Linked DNA regions of Drosophila melanogaster. The protein of the gene in region 3 interacts with the protein of the main gene of each other region in a pairwise test. Each region holds a gene or a part of one and is shown on either strand. Other genes may lie near its edges. The genes, in order: Gint3, cv-d and CG12116.

What was found.
Region 1: the proteins of CG12116 (region 3) and Gint3 interact in a two-hybrid assay, tested with the Drosophila melanogaster proteins (one large-scale study listed by BioGRID).
Region 2: the proteins of CG12116 (region 3) and cv-d interact in a two-hybrid assay, tested with the Drosophila melanogaster proteins (one large-scale study listed by BioGRID).

The regions. Positions count from the first base shown.
Region 1 is NT_033778.4:18,656,115-18,664,139, reverse strand, and holds Gint3 (GDI interacting protein 3), read left to right. Parts: upstream 1-2,591; 5' UTR 2,592-3,029; intron 3,030-3,367; exon of another isoform or gene 3,368-3,475; intron 3,476-3,514; 5' UTR 3,515-3,659; coding exon of another isoform or gene 3,660-3,945; intron 3,946-4,015; coding exon of another isoform or gene 4,016-4,095; 5' UTR 4,096-4,100; coding exon 4,101-4,154; intron 4,155-4,209; coding exon 4,210-5,220; intron 5,221-5,283; coding exon 5,284-5,432; intron 5,433-5,491; coding exon 5,492-5,603; 3' UTR 5,604-5,722; downstream 5,723-8,025. Other genes in the region: CG42306 (uncharacterized protein), read left to right, coding at 3,660-3,945, 4,016-4,095.
Region 2 is NT_033777.3:15,849,202-15,856,853, forward strand, and holds the start of cv-d (crossveinless d), read right to left. Parts: upstream 4,381-7,652; 5' UTR 4,108-4,380; coding exon 4,077-4,107; intron 3,727-4,076; coding exon 3,527-3,726; intron 2,777-3,526; coding exon 2,549-2,776; intron 2,488-2,548; coding exon 1,515-2,487; intron 1,461-1,514; coding exon 1,070-1,460; intron 1,008-1,069; coding exon 788-1,007; intron 731-787; coding exon 499-730; intron 441-498; coding exon 1-440. Other genes in the region: Hmt-1 (heavy metal tolerance factor 1), read right to left, coding at 4,895-6,264, 6,328-6,732, 6,796-7,121, 7,182-7,381, 7,437-7,652.
Region 3 is NC_004354.4:8,466,113-8,472,514, reverse strand, and holds CG12116 (uncharacterized protein), read left to right. Parts: upstream 1-3,502; 5' UTR 3,503-3,760; coding exon 3,761-4,582; 3' UTR 4,583-5,072; downstream 5,073-6,402. Other genes in the region: Cp7Fa (chorion protein a at 7F), read right to left, coding at 1-90, 160-251, 794-1,132, 1,539-1,595; CG33223 (uncharacterized protein), read left to right, coding at 6,203-6,402.

The DNA.
Region 1 (8,025 bases), on a different chromosome or scaffold from region 3:
GACACCATTTAGAGTTTTAAACAAAAAAAAAAAAACAAAAAAATGAAAATACCCGCGTGGTGGAAAGTCTCGAGATATTTCAGAGCTTCAGGCGGTCCACAGCGGGAAAGTCAATTTTATTAAAAAATGGATAATTAGTAGATTTAGAATTCAGACATGGAAGAATCAAACTGAGTTGGCGAATTGCAGGGGGCCAAATTCTTGCCGCTCACATTGGCGACTTCCGGCCGCATTAGATGAATTATTAACATTTTTTGTTTCAGCGAATCCGAAGAACACTTGAAGTTCAGCGGATTGTATTTCAGCCTTTTTTTTCTTCGTTTTGCTGCTCTTTCTTATTTTTTTTTTTTGGCGGGGGGGCTTCTCTGGATTCATTCATTCTCACTCCCACGCTCATGGGAGCTGGAAAAGCTGTGTGTGAATGGTTATTTGAGGGAAATGCCCAAAGACAAAAGTCTCAGGGCAGCCGAAGAAACTGTCATTGCCAGCAGAAACCCACACAACAAAGAGATACTTGGTATCTTAAACTGGATGGATAGATGGGAGAATGTTATGCATAGAGACCAGAAGACCACCAGAAGAAGTTCATGGGAACGAACTTCGTGGCCCCTGTAAGTCAAGTGTGAAGTGGTGGACCCAGGGGAATTCGGTTACTTTGGTGGAGGGGCAAACCGCTCCGCGTTGCAGCAAGTGCATTCATCTAATAGATACGAGTGCGAGCCATGAATACGACAATTAATGTCATCCACCATTCATGATTTGCTCCTTCTGCAAACGGCAATCAAGATGAGAACAGCGCTTTGCACATGGAGGAAATATAAGTAATGATTGAGCCAAATTATATGGTTAATTAAATTATATCGATAATACATTTTATCATTGATTTTTTCATATATATGAGCAATGAAGATGTTTTTCTCCCTGTGTAGCCTGTAAACTCCGCGTCTCCTGCACTTCCCATCCAATTGCTTGCTTATGCAAGGCAACGTGACTGTGTGGGCGTGTCATCACTTTCAATTTTGCGGCCAATTTGAGTGACACTTTCTGCCTGTTTGTCACGCCGCTTGCGTAGCCAAAGATTGTGCCACAAAGGGATGGGCAGTGGGGAGTGGTGTTTGGCATGAGGCACGGAGCCACCAAGGAGGACCATCATCATCATCAGGAGGCCTAGAGAAGCAGCGACTTTGTGTGTCTGCTCGTCGTCTGCGGCGCTTCCGTTTCCTGTGCATAAATTTTAATGAGCGAGCCAGATTCCCCGCCTTCAACTCCACCGACTCGGCTGGCCGCCCAATCAAGACACTATCAATGCGAGATAAGAAAATAAATAATATTTTTAAAACAAAAAAAAAACAACCGTCAGTGGGAAAGGAAACCCTTGGCTGTGTCCAGTGTCTCTTACCTTGACTTTCGCGCAGCGAGCACAAAGTCACGGCTATGTTGGCCATAAATTGGCACAACCAGTTTTGGGCCACGGGTGAAAACAAAAGAAAAGCCAAGGCATTGGCCAAATGGTTGCTGCTTTTACTGGCTTTCCCAACCGTGAAATTCGTGCAAGAGGAGTACAGGTGCGTCAGACTGATCGACAGGTGGAGTATCTTTCAGATACATTCATAATACAAGTACTGCATATCAGTAGAAAGTCAGCATACTTACGTCGCAATATAAACTCCAACATTTAACTTAAGAACTTCAAAATATGACATATTCGAGCTGTGAATATAATTGGTTATATAGTTATGAAATCATTGAATCTATTCTTTTGGTAGCTTTATATTTTCCTGTATTCCAGCATACCCCTCCATTGCTGGGAGCCCAGTTTTCTTCTCTCTCCTTCGCAGACTTGGCCACACACAACTCGACGTCTTCAGCTGGCGATTGGAACTAGTTTTTCAGGTTCGGCGCATGGCGGCTGATAACAACAATTGCAATGCGAATGACGCCGGACGACGGCGCATGCGCGCCACTCTTGCATTCCTTTCGATGGCTCTGGGTGCGCAGAACTCTCCCCCCAGCCGTCCCTCCCATCCGGGCATTTGTGGAATTTTAATTGCGCAAAACAAAAAACAAAAAAAAAACTGCAATGATGAGGAGTTGGGGACAGGCAACTGCAATTGCAACCGATGCGATGGTGGCTGGAATGGAATGGGATTGGGAATGGCTGGGAATGACGTTGAATGATGGTTAGTTGCAGCCCGGTTGCAAGTGAGAACATATCGCGTGATGGTGATAGATATAATGGCCATGGGACACAGTGCTCTTGTCATGCCAGAAGATGGGGCTGCAGACACGCCTTGGACTCGAGACTCAAATGCGCAGACTGCTGATTGCGATGGCAAACAGAGCCACAGCCAGATTACACATACAGATATAGAAACAGAAAACCAACGGACCAGAGCAGAACGAAGCCGATGGAAGAAAATCTTACACTCTGCTCGAATTATAAGTCGTCGACATTTTGCCTAACTAACAGTCGCCACGGAAAAATGAGCCAGCATAAATAAAGCCAAGCAAGGCGGAGCGGAATAGAATAGACTGTTTGTGTCTGTTGTTGGCTGCTGGCGTAATTGAAGTTGCAGAAAGCCAGAGACGAGCCAAGCAGCCACAAAACCTAAAACCTAAGAGAGAAGCAACACACCGAGATGGGGGCCATCTCCGCATCCACGTAGCCAGTGGAGCGCGAGGCATGGCGCATACGGAAGCCATAGGCTGCAAGAGATTTCTCTTCTTTGGCCTCCGCTCGACTTTCGGCTGGCTGTTGAACCCGCAGCGCATCGCTGGAGCGTGATCTCCCCGCCCCCAGATAGGCATCCCCAATCTCTCACTCTGCTACCTACTTGGCCGAAAAACATACTCAAGGATGCCATCGAAAATCAATCGCAAAATATGCGAAAGGAAGAGAGATGCCCAGGCTCCAATCGCCGAAAATTACAGGAAGCAAAAGCACTTGGCGAAACGATCGAAAATCATTCAATTACGACAGCTGGCCCTGCATATAAAAAATGGGCGTGTGCTCCACAAAATATCATTATGTAAGCACACGGTGAAAAAAGAGCGGTGGGTTTCGAAATTATTTTGAAAGAATCCAAGGTTGCAAATTTGGAATTAAATATACAAATATTTTAGCAAAATTAATAGTTGGTAGCTACTTTTTGAAATTTTATAATCATTTAAATACACAATTTAATATTTTAGCCTATATTAAAAATGTGGAAAATATTCTTAATAACAACGCCATAAATATTGTTCAATTCACTTCTTCAGGAACTGAATAAGGTCAATAGCAGGTGCACACATTAATTACAGGATGCGGGTGCAGAAATCAAGGCAAATCGAATGAGGTCAGAACCCTCAGGGAAATCCATAAATAATTGTTCCCCCCATTCGAAAATTACAATTTAAATTCAAAACAGGCGCCAAAACAAAGCATTTGGAAATTAACCAGCACTGGAGAGCAGCGAAATACTTTTATCGATAAGTAAGCTGTTGACGCATTTTCATTTGGTATTTTTACTAGCCCGTAGGTATTTACACACAGACCAGCAACGGGCACACCAGCAAAGAAAAAAGTGTTGACGAAATTATTATAATGCTGCGAATATAAACAAAGGATTGCGTTGAAAACGTATTAAATACGATCTTTGGCACTTACCAATCAGGCAATGAGTTTCAATTTCTACGTGGAATCGTTCAATTCAACGTTGCAGTCGATTGCGCGACAAGTGGAGCAATTTGCTGGCGTTGCACTGACGGCAGCCGTCGATCTGCGCGGAAATCTGGAATCTTTGACCGGTGACTTTCGTTGGGAAAACGGACCCATTGCCTTCACCGATCTGCAGGCGACACTGCTGAAGGTGCTTATCGTGCTGCTTCTGGGCACCTGCGTACTAGCCGGCTATTCGTGGTCCATTTACGGCAAAGTCATTACGGAGAAGTTTGTCAGGCCAAGTAGGAATATGCTTAAAATCAGGATGTTACGATAAGTTTACTTAAACGAAGGCCACGTCTTGCATTTCAGGCACGCTCAAGGAAATCGAGGAGCTTAAATTGTCGGTGGCCAAGTTGAAGCTGCCCAAGGAACACTCGCCGCGCATCTAGAAACCATGTCCAAGATTAAGAAGTTCTTTTCGCGGAAGAAGGCGGAGGCTGCCTTTAAGGTGGGTTCTTTCTTTAGCCAAGCCATTGGAAATCCCTTACCAAGTTCGTTTACAGCTCAATTTAACTGGCAGCGGCATGGGCACTGGCCACAAGCTGAATTCCCCCAAACAGGAGACTCCTTCAAGTAGTTCCCGCCAAAAGTATGAGGCCTATGTGCCACCAAAGCGAAATGAAATAAGTAACGAGGCCAGGGCAGCTGCCAGTGCGGCACTGGCGCGCATTGACAAGAAAACATCCAGGGAATTCAATACCTCGCTGTCGGCAGTGAAGGCACAGGCTAAAAGAGAGCTGGAGGCAGAGCGTCGCCAGAGAGAGGAAGCCATGGGCACGCCATCAACGACCAGCACATCCACATCGGCTTCCGGCGGCGACACTCGCAACCTGGCCTGCGAAGGCGTCTTCTTCCGCTGCCCCCTAATCAGCGAGGAGATTCTACCCAAGAGCGTGTGGAAGGTTCGCATCAAAGAGTTCCTCTACCAGCAGCTGGAGGCAGATCGCGGCCTCACCGCCTGCCTGATCATCCACAATTGCAATGTTAAGGAGAAGGCCGACGAGTGCATTGCCACGCTAATCCGATATCTGGAGAATCTTATCAAGAATCCCGAGGAGGAGAAGTTCTGCAAGATACGGATGTCCAACAAAATCTTCAGCGAAAAGGTGCGCTACGTGGAGGGTGCCCTGGATGTTCTGCAAGCAGCGGGCTTCAACGAGGTCCAGATCGATGGCGAACCCTTCCTTTTGTGGACCAAGGAGCAGACGGAGAAGGATCTCGACTTGCCCACACTAGTGGAAGCTCTCAAGAGCTCGGAGATTATTCCCCTGGAGCTGGATCGCAACATTAAGGTCCTACTTCCATCGCAGGCATGTCGTGTCGCCCTCCCCGACGAGTTTTATCGCCTGTCGCCGGAGGAGATCAAGAAAGAGCAACAGCTGCGATCCGAGGCCATTGCCCAGTCACAGATGCTGCGGACAAAGGCGATGCGGGAACGCGAGGAGCAGCGCAATTTGCGCATGTATCGATACGCTTTAGTCAGGGTTAAATTTCCCAATGGACTCTTTATACAAGTAAGCCATTCCGCGATGATGTCATCTGAAGTAATTTTATGTAATAAGCCGAATCATTTTCAGGGCACTTTCAATGTGTACGAAAAAATATCCGATGTGTTCGAGTTTGTCCAATCTTGCCTGGCGGACGAAAGCCTGGATTTTAGCTTGGTGTCCAACAGCGATGGCAAACTGGGCGATGAGGACTTGGAAAAGACACTATATGACTGCAAGTGAGTGATGCAATAATGTTTTCTTTAGGTACAACACTACATGATTTCCTTCATTTCAGACTCATTCCGAACACTCTGCTGCTGTTTAGCGCCAATGATACACCCGCTCCTTTGCAAACGGATATAAACTACTTAAAGGAAGACCTTCTAATGCTGGTGCAGGCTATGTAGAAGTGCTTTAACCCATATATTCAGCGGTATTTGTCCCTTATATTATAACAGAGCTGTTGTTATTTATTACTTTCAAATCTATTATTCAAAATCAATTATAAACGCACTTTACACAAAAGAAAATTTCTTTAAATTAATTTGGTTATTTGGCTGTTGCTACTTGTTCGCTTGAAATTTATTTATATTAAAAACTTATTTTTATATATTTGCTTAACTAAATACATACTTTCAAGCCACTGTGCGTCAAACAGCTGTTTGGTATCTTTTTGGCTGCGGTATTTCAGGTGGGCTTTTAAGCTTACCTGCAAACGGTCTTACTTATTGCAAAAATAAACAAAAATTGCAACGCTAGCAAGTGGAAATTGACGAATTATTATTTAACTATGAGCTTAAACTGTGAGCTGTGAGGAATTGTGAAAAGTGCACGAATCGCTGAACTATTTGGTGCTATGTAAATGTTAGTGAGTACGCAAGTCTAGAATCATATGTTTGTACCAAACAATAACAAAGTGCGGCCAATTGCATTTTGACCATAATTCCATTAACAAATGCCTAATTGTTGCTTAGTCACATTAGTTTCGGGGCTCAAAAAGTCATAAATAATGCCATTAATAAGCGGAGCAAATGTTACGCCTGTTTTGGAAGTTTCCCGCACTCTTTTGTGCGGTCAGCGCATCGCGTGGTTCCGCTGAAAACTTGTGGCCCACTGTAATTTCCCAATCCACGCGACTTTTCCTGGCCATTATCGAATTATTAATAGCATGTGGGTGCAATTTGTTGATGCGGACTACTAATTAAGCAGGCAGCTTGATCGTACGGCTGTCACATTTTAGAAACTGCTTGGAACTTAGCTCAATAATCAACCCTCTTTTTAACAATACGATATGAACTTATATGATCAATTTGAATTAATAGTTTAAACACATATTATCAGACTCATTAACTTACAACAAATGTAGCTTATCAATATACCCAACAAAGATACCTTAGAAAGATAAGATTATGCTATATAATAGATATATATGAATCCCCTTTGTTTCCAAAACATTTACACGAAATGAGAAAGTACATATATCGTATATCGTATATCGTGGGAGCCCAAAACTGGAGCATTGATCCTAATCCCAAGCTGGCTTCTTCGCTGCCACTAAACAAACAGTTGCATTTAATGAACCAATTTCGCAGTTGGCCTTTACTGTCTATCACGGCGGCATCGAAAACGGCCAAACTAAAAGTCTGTGGAGGAGTGAGGAGAGGAGTGGGTAGATTAAGGAGTGCTTCGCCCAGGCTCCGGGCACTGGCAATTTGGCGTAAATCTCGCTTGATCTTGGGAAAAGGTAAATAGAAAAGCAGCCAAAATCAAACATTAATGAATCTCTACGGCTCAGGGCTTAAATTAAGCCAAGCAATCGCGCCAAATCGAAACACGCAGCCACGAGAAGCCAAATAAAAAGCAGGCAGAAAGCCAGAGACTGCAAGCCATCGCATAAATTGGCCTGGGCTGGAGCCAAAGATTTCATTGTTGGCCATTGCTTATTATGGCCGGGCAGCGGATCTAGGCCTTCATTAAACGGCCAAAGGCAGCGGCTGCAGTTGCACCGGGAGAAATGTCACCAAAGTTGGTAGGCTACAGTTCTTAAATGATACTCAGTCCAATTAAGTGACCTTTTTTAATGCCTTATCTTTAAGATGTGTATTTAAATAAACCCTTTTGAAACTTTAGCACATCTTGCATACACGGCTTTTTCTCCCTGTGTACAATAGAGCCTTATTTCAACTTTGGTCCGCGAGGCTAGTGCGTGAGATATGCATTATTTATCTAGCGAAATTTTTCTCATTGCTGCAGCGGCAACTTGTTGCAGGCAGACTTCCTGGTTTCTTGGGCCCAGCTGCAGCCACTGCAGCCCAGCCAGGCCAGAAATTCCAAAATGATACGAATAGTTTGTTTCTGTCGGGAGATAGCGAGAAATATGTGGGACATCCTGAGGATCGTTGTCTTCTCTTTTTTTATTTTTTGGGGGGGAGCTGGAGATGGGGATGTGGATAGGGATTACGAGTTAGGGGTTAGCTGTTACCCATTGCCGGGTTGCAACCTGCACGTGCCTCGCCTCGCTGCGCCGCCTGATTGAACGATTGAAAGATCATCACCCGGCGCAAAATATCTGGCTGTACATAATGATGATGATGAGGTGCAAATTGCCGCTGCCATGAAATTGCAAATCAACTCTCCTGACTCCCGATTGCACTTCATTCTAAATTGTTTGCTCAACCCAGCAGCTCAGCCGTTTTGGCACTTCTTTCGCGAATCCTCCGGCGCCGGTGCAAAAATTGCAAATCGAATTTGCCAATTGCCGTGCTGCCTTCGCATCGCTCCACTCTCCGGTTGATTTGTTTTTGTGGTTTGGCCACGAACCAACCGCAT
Region 2 (7,652 bases), on a different chromosome or scaffold from region 3:
CAAACCCCTGGTCTTGGTCACCGCCCGCGACTTGAAGGACAGGCCACTGGTCAGGTTTTGGGGTCGGGAGAAGGAGTAGCGCCTGCACTTACTGCCACTCTCGTTCAGATGCAGTTCGCTGCTAAAGGGGATGTAGATGAGGAAGCCCTGCTCCCGGTTGATCTCGTGATCGAGGTTGAGGAACGGATTGTAGCTACGACTCCGCACCGAGGCGTATGAAGAGTATCGGGCATCGATTTCCAGCGTGTGCTTGGTTATGGGCGAGTTCCGCTGCTCTGTTATATTACCACGCAACGAGGTTAGTACGGTGGTCTGCAGCAGGACGTCGGAGGAGGTTCCCAGCACCGTGGGCACCGTGTAGCGATTCATGAAAGGCCAACGAACAGTCTGCATGTTTATGTGACTGTCTGTCCGAATGATTTGCTGCATTCTTTCCAGAACTGTGGAAAACGGGCATGAACCGCACATGGCTGATGGTCAAGAGGTCAATGTACTCACTGTTGTCGTAGGTCAGCTGCCGGAACATCCGCTGGTTGAGGTAGTACGACAGCACCGTCTTGCCCTCCATTTGCAGGATGAACTCCAGATGCAGGTCCTTCGAGTTGATGATCGGAGCCTGCAGCATGGCCAATAGAGCCTTGATGCTCTTAAAGGTAAAAGGATCGCTGCCATTTCGCGATTGCATCTTGTTCAGGATGGTATCTGGCAGCCCACGTGCCTTGATGTATAGCTGGAAGAAGTAGAGATGGCTTATTTGATTCTTGAAACACCGAGAGGTTGTACTTACCGCCAGTTGTCCTGTGAATTTGCCTAGAGCTTCGGTGTCGAATTTGAAGAAGGCCACCACTGGCATGTCCGACTTTGGATCGCCCACGAGGAATACCTGAAGCATTGCACCGATGCCGAACTTGGAGTCGCGATAGTCAAAGATGTAGTTACCGGTGACCCAGTAGCGTGACTCGGGCTTCTGGGGCAGATGACGATGCATGTAGGACAACAGACGGCGTCTAAATGAAGGATATACGACATCTGTGGATGGCTGTGAATTAGGCTGAGTTAGATGACTTACAGGTGCTGATAGCAGGGATATGTTGTCTCCGAGATGCTCGTCACCGTCGTCCGGTAGTAGTTAATCATGTGAGGGTCCGTCTCGCTCTGAATGATGCGATGGATGCTGATGAGACGGGCGGCCGTGGGGTTGGAAATCAATAGCAGCGTAACCGCTGCCACACGAAGTTCTAGGCTGGCATTTCGGGACTCAAAGATTGGCCAGTAGACCTCGTATATGCGCTCCGCTCGACGATCGGCCAGTGCCAGGGTCGTCCAGGCGGCCTGGAACTTCAGATCCTCGTGCTCGTTGGGGTCCTGAACAATGGGCTCCAGATAGTTGGCCACGTTCCCCAATTGCAAGTTGTTTAGACCCTGCAGATACAACATCTTCTGGTCGAAGTCGCGATCGCCTGCGATGAATGATATTAGTTTATATGGAACTCATGGTTATTTGGAACACTTACTTAGATAGGCATTAAAGTACTTCTGGACATACTCCTCAAACTTTTCCTTATCGATGCCCTTGGCCACATAGACATTATGGATGAGCGTGGCAAAGCTAAGGATAGCGGCCTGCCGCACATCCGGGCGATCGGGTCCGATATTGAGGAAGTCCTCGCACTTTTGCACCAACTCCGCCGAGAGCTCGAAGATGTGGAATGGCATGGGTATGAGCAGTTGCACAGCGATTTGCGGCTTAGTCAATTTGTTGAGCACCAGGTGGTGGGTCAGAAAAACGGATGCTTTAGTTCCAATGCGGGGAATGATTTCATGAAAGATGTTGCGAATGGTCTCCTGGCGATAGGAGGTGCCAATGTCCACCTCCCGATAGAGTTTAGTGAGCGAATCAAAGTCCATCTCGCTGAGAAGCTTGATCACGTCGGAGAGAGTGGAGTCGTAGGGCTCCGAGAACTTGAATTCCGTTGTCTCTAGTGCTTCGGCCAGACTGTCTAAGAGCGTCCCCGCCTGGGCAATCAGCGTCTCCTGCTGCTGAGGGCTACGACCTCCAGTGGGATCGTTGGGATCCAGCCGCTGCAGCTCCAGGTTGGATGGCTCTGCTGCCATTGAGGTTTCAATATCGATGGGATTGTCGATGGGCGTCTCGTTAAGGAAATTGAGCAGCAACTCCGAGTTAATGAATTGTGCTTCTCCCGTGGATTCGAACGTGTGGATCAGGGTTGTGCCCTTGGCATGGGCCATGCTCAGATAGTAACCCGTTTCGTTGTGCGGTGACATCCCGTAGATGGCCTCATTGCCAATGATCACACTCTTCTGGTGATCGAATTCGCACGTATTGGGCGGCACGTTGCTGCGTGTAGTGTGAACCGCCTCCGAGTACGGCTTGCAGGTCTTGACCTCCGGCGTTTTGCGGATGGAGATGTAGTTTGTCCTGTTGGACACAAAGTACTCCGTGCGGCAAGTGCCGTGAATACCCAGCTACCAGTAAAAATAATAAAGTTTAAATTAGGAATTATGTATATCGGATGGTATAACTTACCTCATCCACGACGAAGGCCCCGCTGGACTTCATCTGGAACTGCAGCACCGATGCGATGGCCCGCTTGAAGTTCATGCTCCATATGGGATCGCCTTCCTTGAAGACCACATGTGAGATGGCGCCATCCTTGGTGAGAGCGATCTTGAAGGGCTTGTAGGGCGGGTACATCTCCTTGTTCTGCAGGAACTTCTCGCCGGAGTTGTTCAGCGTTACATCGTCTATGACCAGCTGTCGGGTAGAGAGCGAGCGAGAGAGAGAGAGAGCAGAGCAGAGCAGACGATTAGCCGGGAAAGCCCTGCAATAATGCTGTAATCTTCTATCGACCAGGGTCGAGCCCAACTGAACCGGCTGATAAGACGCGCCGAGACGCCGTTTATCTGGCCAGCAGAAATTAGTCAGATCGGCGCTCTCATATGGCGTACATGCACCATACCATGCCCAGGCGCAGGTCCAGATGCCTGATCACTGATAAGCGAGGGACTCTCTACTCCTAGAGAGTCACTCTCAGTCAAAACAATCAGAGCTGATTAACAAAAGGGAATGGCATTATCTGTGGGGGCTCAATGAAAGAAGTTCACAACCGAGTTCAGTTTATTGTGGCGAATCCGCTCCGATCTTTTCCAGAGTCGCTACCGCTCAGTGAATGGTTAAATTGTCTTTAATTCATCTGCGAATTCTTCTTCGTCTGCGGAGGCTGACAAGAAGTCGCGCTGCAGATGGTGATGGGGAATGGGAAGTGGAATATGGGAATGGGGGCTATAGAATGCGCCGATTGGATCGTATAAATTGATAATGAAATCAATAAATTGATTTGATTTTTCACCGATTTCCAATTGATATACACATTCTTCTACATACAAGAAGTATGAGTAAATACTAGTATGGATCGATTTGTATAAACAAAAATAATATTGAGAAACGCTTGCCGGAGATCAACTGAAACATCTCCGAAACTGGAACTGATCCTAGACAACTTACCGCCGCAGCCAAGACCAGCTCGCTTTGCCGCTGGAGCGTCAGCTTGCCCCGCACAATCCATCCGGTGGTGGGTGGCGCCTGGTGGCCCTCGTCCTGGGGCTTTGCACCCACCAGGACATTGCCCTCGTACTCGTAGAGCATCTGTTTGTTGAGGCCAATGATGCTGAAGGCATGGCCGGCATCGAAGATCAGGAACAGATCTGCCGGATAAATAGATAAATGGGAAATTGAACTTCAATTCGATGGATGCTCCTCCCATCCGCTCGTGTTCATCCATCCCTCCCGCCATCTATGTCGCATTCGCGCGGACGGGCAATAAACTCTTCAATTATCAATTGAATTTCTTATATATATATATATATAGATATATACTAAATGTGCATGTGTATATATAATATATATAAACATATTTGAATGATCGCAAAACGCTTTAATCAATGTTGCTTCTAGGTTTCTTTTTGATGCGCGCCTCGTCAATGAATAATTACGTCATATTCTTTTATTAGTTTCTGATACAGTTGGGATTATCAACTAGGTTACTCTCACGTACACACAAACACGGAACACTTGAGTAGCCTCATGGCCTGCTACTTGCTACTAGCTACTTCCTTCCGAGGTCGTGGCACTCGCTTTTCCACAGATCTTCCGACGCTTTTCACTTCGCGCACAGATTTCTCAATGTAGTATCAGTGAATATATGTATATATATTATATATAATATATATATCAACGCGACTGTATATTATCAGATTTTTCAAAGAAGCCGACGCTTTTCCTCCTTTATCGCCAACGCGTCTAATTCCCGGATCACAGCTCGACACGTCCGCTCTGTTCGCGATCCAAGCTCAAACTGAGCGGACATAACAGCCGGATGGTTGGCCTTGCTGGAGGTTTCGTTGATAAGAATCATGCTGCGAAGAGCAGCTTGGCAGCTGGGCTCTCTTACGATCTCTTGGGAAATGTCCTATAAATAGATTTTTGCCGCGTCCACTGGAACAACGTCTTACGGACCAGAAAACGGATTCTCAAATCTGATACATTCTGTTTAGAGGATTTTAAGATATCTTGCATAACATTATCTTACAATATTCCCAAGGACAATTTCGTATCCCTTCAAGACTTAATAATTTAATAAGGACTAGAAATACACAATATTGCGCTATTTATTTGGTACCAGACACATTTAAATTATATTAAATCTCGCGGATTGTCTATAAAAATCTACGTTATTTATTAGTATAAGAGTAGCATATAAGGTTACTTATAGACGAACTAAGACTTTGACGAGCTGCTCTCATACGTATAACAATACACCACAAATCACATGGAATCAGGAATATCAGAAACTACTCTGTATGTCACTTAAGGCTAGCGTGCTCCCCCATGAGCATGTCCTGCCCTGAAGTGGGCACCACCCGTTCCAGTACCACTTGGTCCTCCTGCTCCTCCTGCCCTGCGTTTCTCCGATCCCGATTCTGCACTAGCGTCTCCGTTATCAGAACCACCACTCTGTTCTGCATCTAGATTCTTGAGTTGCTGTTGCCACATGTCCGCGTAGATGCCATCTTCGCGCAGCACAAGCTCTTCGTGTCGCCCACGCTCCGCTATGCTTCCCTGCTGCAGGACCAGAATCTCGTCCGCATGGATGATGGTGGAAAGACGATGGGCAACAATGATGGTGGTACGATTTGCGCACACCCTGGCCAAAGCAGCCTGAATATTGCGTTCTGTGTGGGTGTCCAAAGCTGAGGTGGCTTCATCCAGGAGCACAATAATGGGCGCCTTAAGAAGCGTTCTGGCGATGGCTACGCGTTGCTTTTCACCTCCACTGAGCCGCAGACCTCGTTCGCCCACCTTTGTCTCATATTTCTCCGGAAAGCCGAGAATCCTTTCGTGAATGTCGGCGGCGCGAGCAGCCTCATAGACAGCTTCGTCCGAAGCGCCCAACTTGGCATATTCAATGTTGTAGAAGATGGTGTTGTTAAAGAGAACCGTATCCTGGGGCACCACTCCAATGGCCTTTCGCAGACTCTGCTGCTGCACAAGCTTGATGTTTTGTCCGTCAATCAGGATAGCACCAGTCTGCACATCGTAAAAGCGGAAAAGCAGCCGCATGATGGTGCTCTTACCGGCTCCAGAGGGTCCAACAATCGCTACCGTCTTACCGGCCGGAACTGTGAAGCTCACATTGCGCAGCACTATCTTCTCCGGTGAATAGCCAAAGGTCACGTTTGAGAACTCAATGCCACCGCCGGCAGTTAGAAGGGGCGAACAGCCTGGGGCATCCACAATCTCTTCCTCCTCTTTCAGCAGATCGAACATGTTCTCCATGTCCACGAAGTTCTTCTGTATGGCTCGGTAATAGGTGCCGAACCAATTCAGTGGCATGTACAATTCCATCAGATAGGTGGAGAAGAGCACAAAATCGCCCACGGTGAGGGTTTGATGGTGAACTACCAAGTATACACAGAGCAGCGATCCGGCCAGTAGGCCCAAGCACAAAATAATATTCTGGGCTGTGTTCAGCATGTTGAGTGTCAGCATTGAGAGGAACTCTTCCTTTTGGTACTTGAGAATGGCCTCCCTGTAGCAATCCACCTCGTAGTGCTCCGCTCCGTAGTACTTGACTGTTTCGAAATTGAGAAGGGAGTCCACGCTGCGAGCTCGCTGCTCATTGTCCGCCAGGTTCATTCTCCTCTGGTACTTGGTTCTCCATTCAGTGATTGCAATGGTAGAGGCTGTAAAACGGAAGGATATTTTGAAATACGAATGGAATTAATCGAATAATTTTTATCACTTACCTATATACAGGAACATGGTGAGGAAGACGATTAGGCCAAACCACCAATTGAAGGCGTAAACAAAGTATGCCACGGCAACGAGTAGATCGAGAATGGTTGGTGCGATCGAGAAGACAATATAGTTGAGGAGGTTGTTGATCGAGTCCGTGCCGCGATCCATGACACGCAACACCTCTCCCGTTTTGCGTTGCAAGTGCCATCTAAGCGAAAGCTGGTGCAGATGCCGGAACAGCTCAATCTCGATCTCCCGGGTCGTGTACTGTTGAACCCGTATCCAGAGGAAGGTGCGAAGGTTATTAAATAATCCCATGCTACCAGTGCCGCCACCCTGGAGGAAGGACAATGCCACATAGATCAGCACAAAGTCCCAGCGAAAGACGATCGGTGCAATGGTAAGACTGTCAACTGTCGAAACAGGAGATTAGCAATGAATTACTTAACGAATTACGTTCATAATTCTTGACCTACCCAACTTCTTGCGATAAATCGGCAAAAACAGCTTTATGACTCGACCGGCAAGCAGCAGTATAATGCAAACGATGACGGCTATCTGCAGAGCAATATTCTTTTTAGGCCAGAGGTACGGAAAGACGGTGCGCAGCTTGCGCCATCCGTTCCTGAAAGCAGATCCTGTCTGCACGTTTCCCTGCGATTCGTTGGCGGTATCATTGTCCAGCCGCTGATGTGGATTGTACGGGGCCATGATGCCAGGAGCTTTCAGACCCAAAACGAAGATGAGCAGGGAGCACAGGAACCGGGTGACAAACAAGCCCATCTCAATTTGATCCTTGTTCCTGCGAGTAGTAAAGGCGGTACTATAGATTATCCGTTTTACAGCCGTTTGCATTACTTACGTTTTTAGGTGGAACCACCAGTCCTCGTGGCGCAAATTTATGAAGGCCAGCGACTCGTTAATGAAAGCCAACGTCCAGAATAGCAATAGAACAAGTCCATGTCCTCGGGTGGGCATTGAGGGCAGCTGGTAGTAGCGCTCCTTGAGTATCAAACAGATGCTGAACGGGTAGGAGAAGCACACAACGCAAGTGGAGAAGATCTGCAGAAAAGATTTCGATCAGTAATTGTTTCTTCTTGATCATTTTCATACTTACCATATAGCCGTACACCGCACTATCTGGATAAATACGTGCATTCATCAGAAACCGCAATAGAGCCAAAACCGGGAGCAGGAGCAACAGAAAGAGTTGCATCGCGAACAGTCGTGACTTGGAGATTTGCGTGGGATCCGTAATCCTGGTGGCATACTTCCGGTACATCAGCAACTGAATGCTGCCGAAGAGCAGAAGGAATCCACCGTATACCGCCGG
Region 3 (6,402 bases):
ATGGCCTTTCCAGCCTGGGCGGCCAGACTCACGCTGATGGGATCCGCAGCTGGACTGTTGTCCACTATCTTCTCTGCGGCATAGTCGATTCTGGAGAAGATCGGTTGTGATTAGATTCTATAATATCGCACGCGGTTAGGATTTTCCTTCTATACTCACTTTCCGTACACGGATCCTGAGCTGGAAGAGGAGGCGTAGCTGCTGTCGGAGCTGATCTGCTGGCACGAACAGGTGGGCTTGCATGGCGTGGTCTGTGTGAATTGATCAAATCGAGAGTTCAGTTTCGGTTCGGATAATCGGTGGATGGTGTATCTAAATGGGTTCTATCGCATGGAGCTTCGCATAGCTCTTGATTTTTAGGAGCACGTACGCGGCGATATATGAGGGCGTTATGCATATATTTGGATGACGATGCTATGTTCTGATCATGGTGACGCAAAATTGGTACGGTGATAATGATGCACGATGCGGAAATCGTAACTGCAGCTGGGGGGGGATGACGTTGGATGAATGCCACTGCCACTGGTTGCTGATTATAGGTGTCGAAACTAATGCTAATGCTTATGATAGGTAACACATATTGTTTAGCTATAAACGTGGAGTAGCATATAAAATATAGTAACTACATCTGAAATATATTGTACAATTGAAAATTGTACATGATATTTTCCAACTCTTTCGTGTATTGCATATGTTTAGTCTGGTGGATAGGGTCACTGGTCACTGGTTATGGTTATGGATGTGCATGTGGATTAGTCATGGATGATTATAGCTGATAGCGATGGCCGGAGGCGCCCCTCTTGAAGCAGTCGATCCGCTCCAGACGCTGCAGCCGTTCGGCCAGACGCTGTGCCGCCAGCGTCTTGGCTTCGATGGCGCCCTCGAGCATCCGACGGCCCAAGAGGTTGTTGAAGGCGTTCATGTATTGGAACAGCTCACGTACTTTTCCGCAGGTCTTGGGCAGTTGGGCGGGTTCGATCAGCTGCTTGCTGCACCAGCAGTTGTCTCCGATCGGCGGCAGGTTAACGTCACTGGGCTCGTAGTATCGGGGCTTCGGCCGGATGACCGTGGATCCCTGACAGCTTTGGCAGTAGTCCGTTCCCTTTTCGGAGCACACGCAGGCCGCCATCAACTGTAGGGGTAGTTAAGGTTAGTTATTAATAATCCTTGTTCTTTGTCGGTTCAGTTCTTTAATATATTTGTTAGATCCAAGTAACACATGGGGTATCATCCCTATCTCCAATTGCAATTTCACACAGTGTTCATTGACCAGCAGCATCCTTTCATCTGTTCAATCCTTTTATATTAACTATTCTTAATTCACGGAAACTTCTTGTATCCCTTTATCCTTTAACCACCCAGTAAACAGTGTTAAAAATCTTTCTAGGAAGCACTCTTAAGCTTTTGTAATCACTGCACACTAAGCAGTGTTGATCAGTTCGTTCGAAAGCTTATCCTTGTTTTTTTTTTAACAAATTCACTTTCTTTCTAATGCACTCCCACTTCGATGGACACTAATCGATTTTTAAGTTTCTTACCAATTGAATGCAGTGCATTCCCATGACCAACGCGAGAAGAAGCTTGCAGGCTAGCATGTTGTAAAGGTTCTTATCGGATCACTGTGTTCTTGGCTCGTCAAAAGTTTGGACTGACTGTGGGAGCGGTCCACACGGCTTATATAACCGTGATAAACCCGAAAACCGCAGATCGCCGAAAGCTGTGCTCATGCATTAGTTTTCCGCAGCTGGGCTGCTCTCGATTTTGATCGAGGTGAATGAAATTTTCACTCTTTCTTCCAGCTAAATGAAATCTTCTAGGGGTCACTTTCCCGCTGAACGACATTGAACGGAGGACAGGGTCAGGTTCAGGTATAGCCTGTGTTCCAAATATGCTTTCCATTAGGTCCACGCCTGCCCACTAAAGCTGCGATGCTACGTGCTTCGGCTTGAAAGCCCCGCGCACTTTTGATAATACCCCTAAATCAACATAAACAGACAGATGTGATGCTATTACCCACTGCCACTGTCCACTGGTGAATTCCAAGAACTTTGGACGATACCATGTGAGTGGCTAACAATGAAGTAGGGGTACACCAACCAAGATGTTCCAGCCATTCAAGACTGGTCATTATCCAACAAGCAAAACAGCAAAGTTATCAAGATTTTGGCATTCATAGGTGCATAGAGGTTTATTTTTGATCTTGGATTTGCAGTTATGTTGCAATATATGAATATATTAATATGTAATTATATATTATAAGAAAAGGGAAGTAGTGCGACTTAGATAATCTGTATACTCTATTTTGCATAGCTATTCCCTCCATCAAATGTGAGCTTATTTGGTTATACTACGATTAGAACTGCGTTCCGTTCCCGATTTCTAAATGGGTCAGCGTCATCTCGAAACGAGAATCCGGGAATCGGCAGCAGACTCCACCGGAATATAATAAGGCCATTAACCTAATTCGAGCTTGTTATTGGCGAAAATATAGTCAAAACAGCAAATTCTGGAAACACTGCCGTCTATCGATAGATCTTGAATATAGATTTTAAAGCACTTCCCTTCCGATCGATAATGTCTATAGAAATATGGAAAAATCACATTTCTAGGCAAAAAAAAAAAAACCCCTATATGACACATTAATATATATGTACCTTACGTTATCTTTAAACATGCGATTTAACGGATGTTTAGTAACGAGAGAGTTCATTAAATTCACACGTGTTACACTACCCATGTAATTCACAGGCATATATTATATGTATTATGTAATTGCAAAAACCATTTGCATTTTATTCGTCTACGAAAGTTCAACGACTGAATGCGATAACCTGTTATGTGATTCGGAAAATAAACATATATACTTAAAATAGGAAAGCAGTTTTAATGGGAAAAAACTATATGAATGGAAATTTATTTAATTTGTTTTGCAAAAAAAAGAAGGGACTTTGCTTAGACAAAACTATAAAATGTACTATTCTACTTTCCACATAATATTGTCCCCATCTGTGCTACACTATTAATTGTTGCCAACTGATTTGTTTACAAAATTCTTTGGTTAATCTCTTGCACTAAAAAGACAACCTTGACTTAGCGCCATATCAAAGGAACTCGATGAACTTCAAGATGACAATCGATCAGGTTTTTGGCTCATGGGAAACAGTGGCAAAGCCAAAAGGGGCTTGAAAAAATTAGCTTATTCTAATATGAAAGTATAAAATGAAATGAAAAGTATAATCTATGTTAAAGCATATAGAGCAATTTGTTTGTTAGGACATTATCTAAACTATGTCTATTTACCAGGACCAGGCCCCCGATGCGTAATATTGGCGCACCACTCCATCAGATTCCAGAGGTTAAATGATGCGCCATGGGTCCGGATTACGGTGCCAAAATCCCAAACATTACAAATGGTTAATGGCACGGCAACAAGACCAGACGCCTGAACCCCGGCTTATCAGTCGATTGGGTTGTATAAAAGCCCCAAGCTGACATCCCCACCAGTCCAGAGCGCTTCTCCATACGGAATCGGAACCTGAGTTGCTCAGTCGAGCATAAATATATATACAATACATATATATGCACATATAGTTGGCCAATCGAAATCGGAATAAAGCTTATCAGTCGAAAACAGAGTCCAGTTGGCAAAGCCCGGAGGAAATAAGGCATCAGTACAGTCGTACAGCTTCAAGTGAAAACAAGTGGAAGATTCTTCAGTTCCCGAAATCCTCAAGTACCCGAAATCCTTTAAATCAAAATAATGGCAGCAAAGAGAATGGATTTAAATAGACGCACCTTTTTGGTGTTGAGCGGCAGCTCAAATCCTTTGGGTCAATCCCTGGCGCTGGAGTTCTGCCGTCGCCTGGCCACTGGATCCCTTGCTTTGATCTTGGATGAGGATCAGGAGCAGCTTCGGGAGCTGGAGAATCATCTCCGGAGCGAACTGAAGACGGAGAACGTTAAGGTGACAATCGGAAAGTTGGACAAAGATCACTCGAATGGTGTGCAGCTAATGGAACAGGCATTGATGGATAATTTCATGGCGGATAAGGACAATCAACGCTTCGAGCGTTCCATAATCCTTCACAACGAGGGAAAGGCGGCCACGCATATGCTCCTGGAACCCCAGAGCGACGACGATTGGAAGGCCTATGTCCAGCAGCAGCTCTATGCTCCGGTGGCGCTCAATCAGACGTGGCTGCAATCGAAGCACTTGGAGCGAGTGGAGAAGCTGGCGGTGAATGTGACCTCATCGCTGATGGTACGTCCATTGGTCCATGCTGGTCTGCTTTGCTCGTGCAAACGGGCCAGGGATATGTACTTCCGCGCCATGGCCGCCGAGGAGTATCGTTTCGGTGTCCATGTGCTCAGCTTCTCGCCCGGTCTGATGGACACCCACGAGGGACAGTGCGATGTGAACGGCAATCGGATCACTCCCGCTGATCTGATAGCCACGAAGCAGTTGCTCCAGCTGCCGAGAATCAAGCCCTGCCAGGCCACACTCAAGCTGATCAACATTCTGGAGGAGATATCCTTTGTCTCCGGTCACGATGTCGACTATTACGACACCTTCGTTTTATGAGTAGCACCGTGGCGGTGGGCTGCGTCCCCGATGGACTCGGTTCTAATCTTGGTTGACGATTTAAATGCTGTACATGACTTGATCGCCTTGGAAATTAATAAAATCTGGCCAATGTCCCAGATTTCAGACCTGCAAGTGCACGAAAATCAAGCACACGAACAGGAAAACGAACGAAAAATTATATTTTTATTTTGGGTGGGTGGGTAGAATTTTAGATTTCTATAGGTTTGCCATTCACAATATTAACATATATTGTTGATTTGCTACTTTCAACTGAATTTGAAATTGAGTCTATTTTTAATTAGAATAGACAGGAATCACCGAAGCACACTCCTTATATTTTACCTATAATATATTTAAAACTGATGTTCAAAAAAAGAGTACTGCAGAATATACTTAGTAATTAGTTACTATTGGTAAATTTGTATGTGCAGGCGTGAGTTTATGAGTCAGCAATGCACAACAGATTAAACAAATATACAGAATATACATATATATATATATATATTTGTTAGCTCAAAACAGAAAATGAGACAGATTGAATAGTCTCAGTGATAAGAAAACCCACACGTGTTCAAATGTATAGAATTTTGTATGTGTGGTGTTGCCGGGTCGAAAATTTTCAAAATTCCCAATAGACTGATTCTTGATCCGGGTTTTCAAAATTATATGTGAAAATTTGGCTACTGAATTTGTAGTTAATAACTAATGAGGTTTTGACAAATCTTTAATCTATACAGTTATAAATGGCTTAGTTCGCCTCATTCTGATTAAATGTATTTATGGTTTTCAATTTTTTTTTTTTTCAGTTTACTTTCAATGAATCAACTGTTTTATATTCAAGGCATACTTTTGGGTATTCCTTATAGAAAAGTAATTTAAAAAGCCATAAGTTGCTCAAAATGTTGCTAAAGCTTTCCTAATCAAATTACAAATGAAATATTGTAAAAAGCAATCAGGAATTATAAATGGAGCTTCCCTACAATGTTGCAAAGATTCTGTAATCAGTTGGATTTTATAGTTTTTCCCTTGGATGCGGGGAATAAACATACAAATTAAATTTAATGACAAATTGAGAGCTTGAACTTTATAACAAAGTTGCAGAGCTTTCGAGAGAAGATTACTCGAGTTAACTCTTTAAGATGCTGACCTTGACATTGACTTTCTAACACATATTATATACATAATATATTAGCTGGGTTACTTTCATAAGGACCATAGGTTTTGATATATATGTATATATATATATATGCAAGCCTTTACGGCAAACTCTGTACGTCCTGTCTTCATTAAGCTGATAGCAGTGAAAGTCGTACTGCTCATCTTCAAGCCATAAATTTTTATTAAATTGAAATAGCTTGCAATATTTTTATACAACATTCTGATAGCTTTACTTGATTTACTTAATGAAATTTGGTAATCCATATAGGGTCACTTAAGGATGCGATGAAATTTTACTCGAACTCCATTCGCATGACAACGACAGTTTTACACAAGGGGTTCCAGAAGCAAACTTCTATCCGAATAAAGCAGACTACACCTAGAGACACAGAGCTTGTGTATAAAATCTAAAATTATCTATATATATATATATATATATATATAAATTCGGGCATCAGGATGCGGAAGGTGCAGGCTTTGGTTCAGACGCGCGACGGCAAGAAGACCGTCTACGAGGTGGATCGCTTAGGAACGGTGGCCAGCCTGAAGGCACGGATCGGGCAAGCCATGTCCGTGCCCATGGGCTTCAGTCGGCTGTCGTACAAGGGTCGCGTGCTATCCAATCAGAGCGTACTGGAGGATTTGGGGCCCAATAAGTC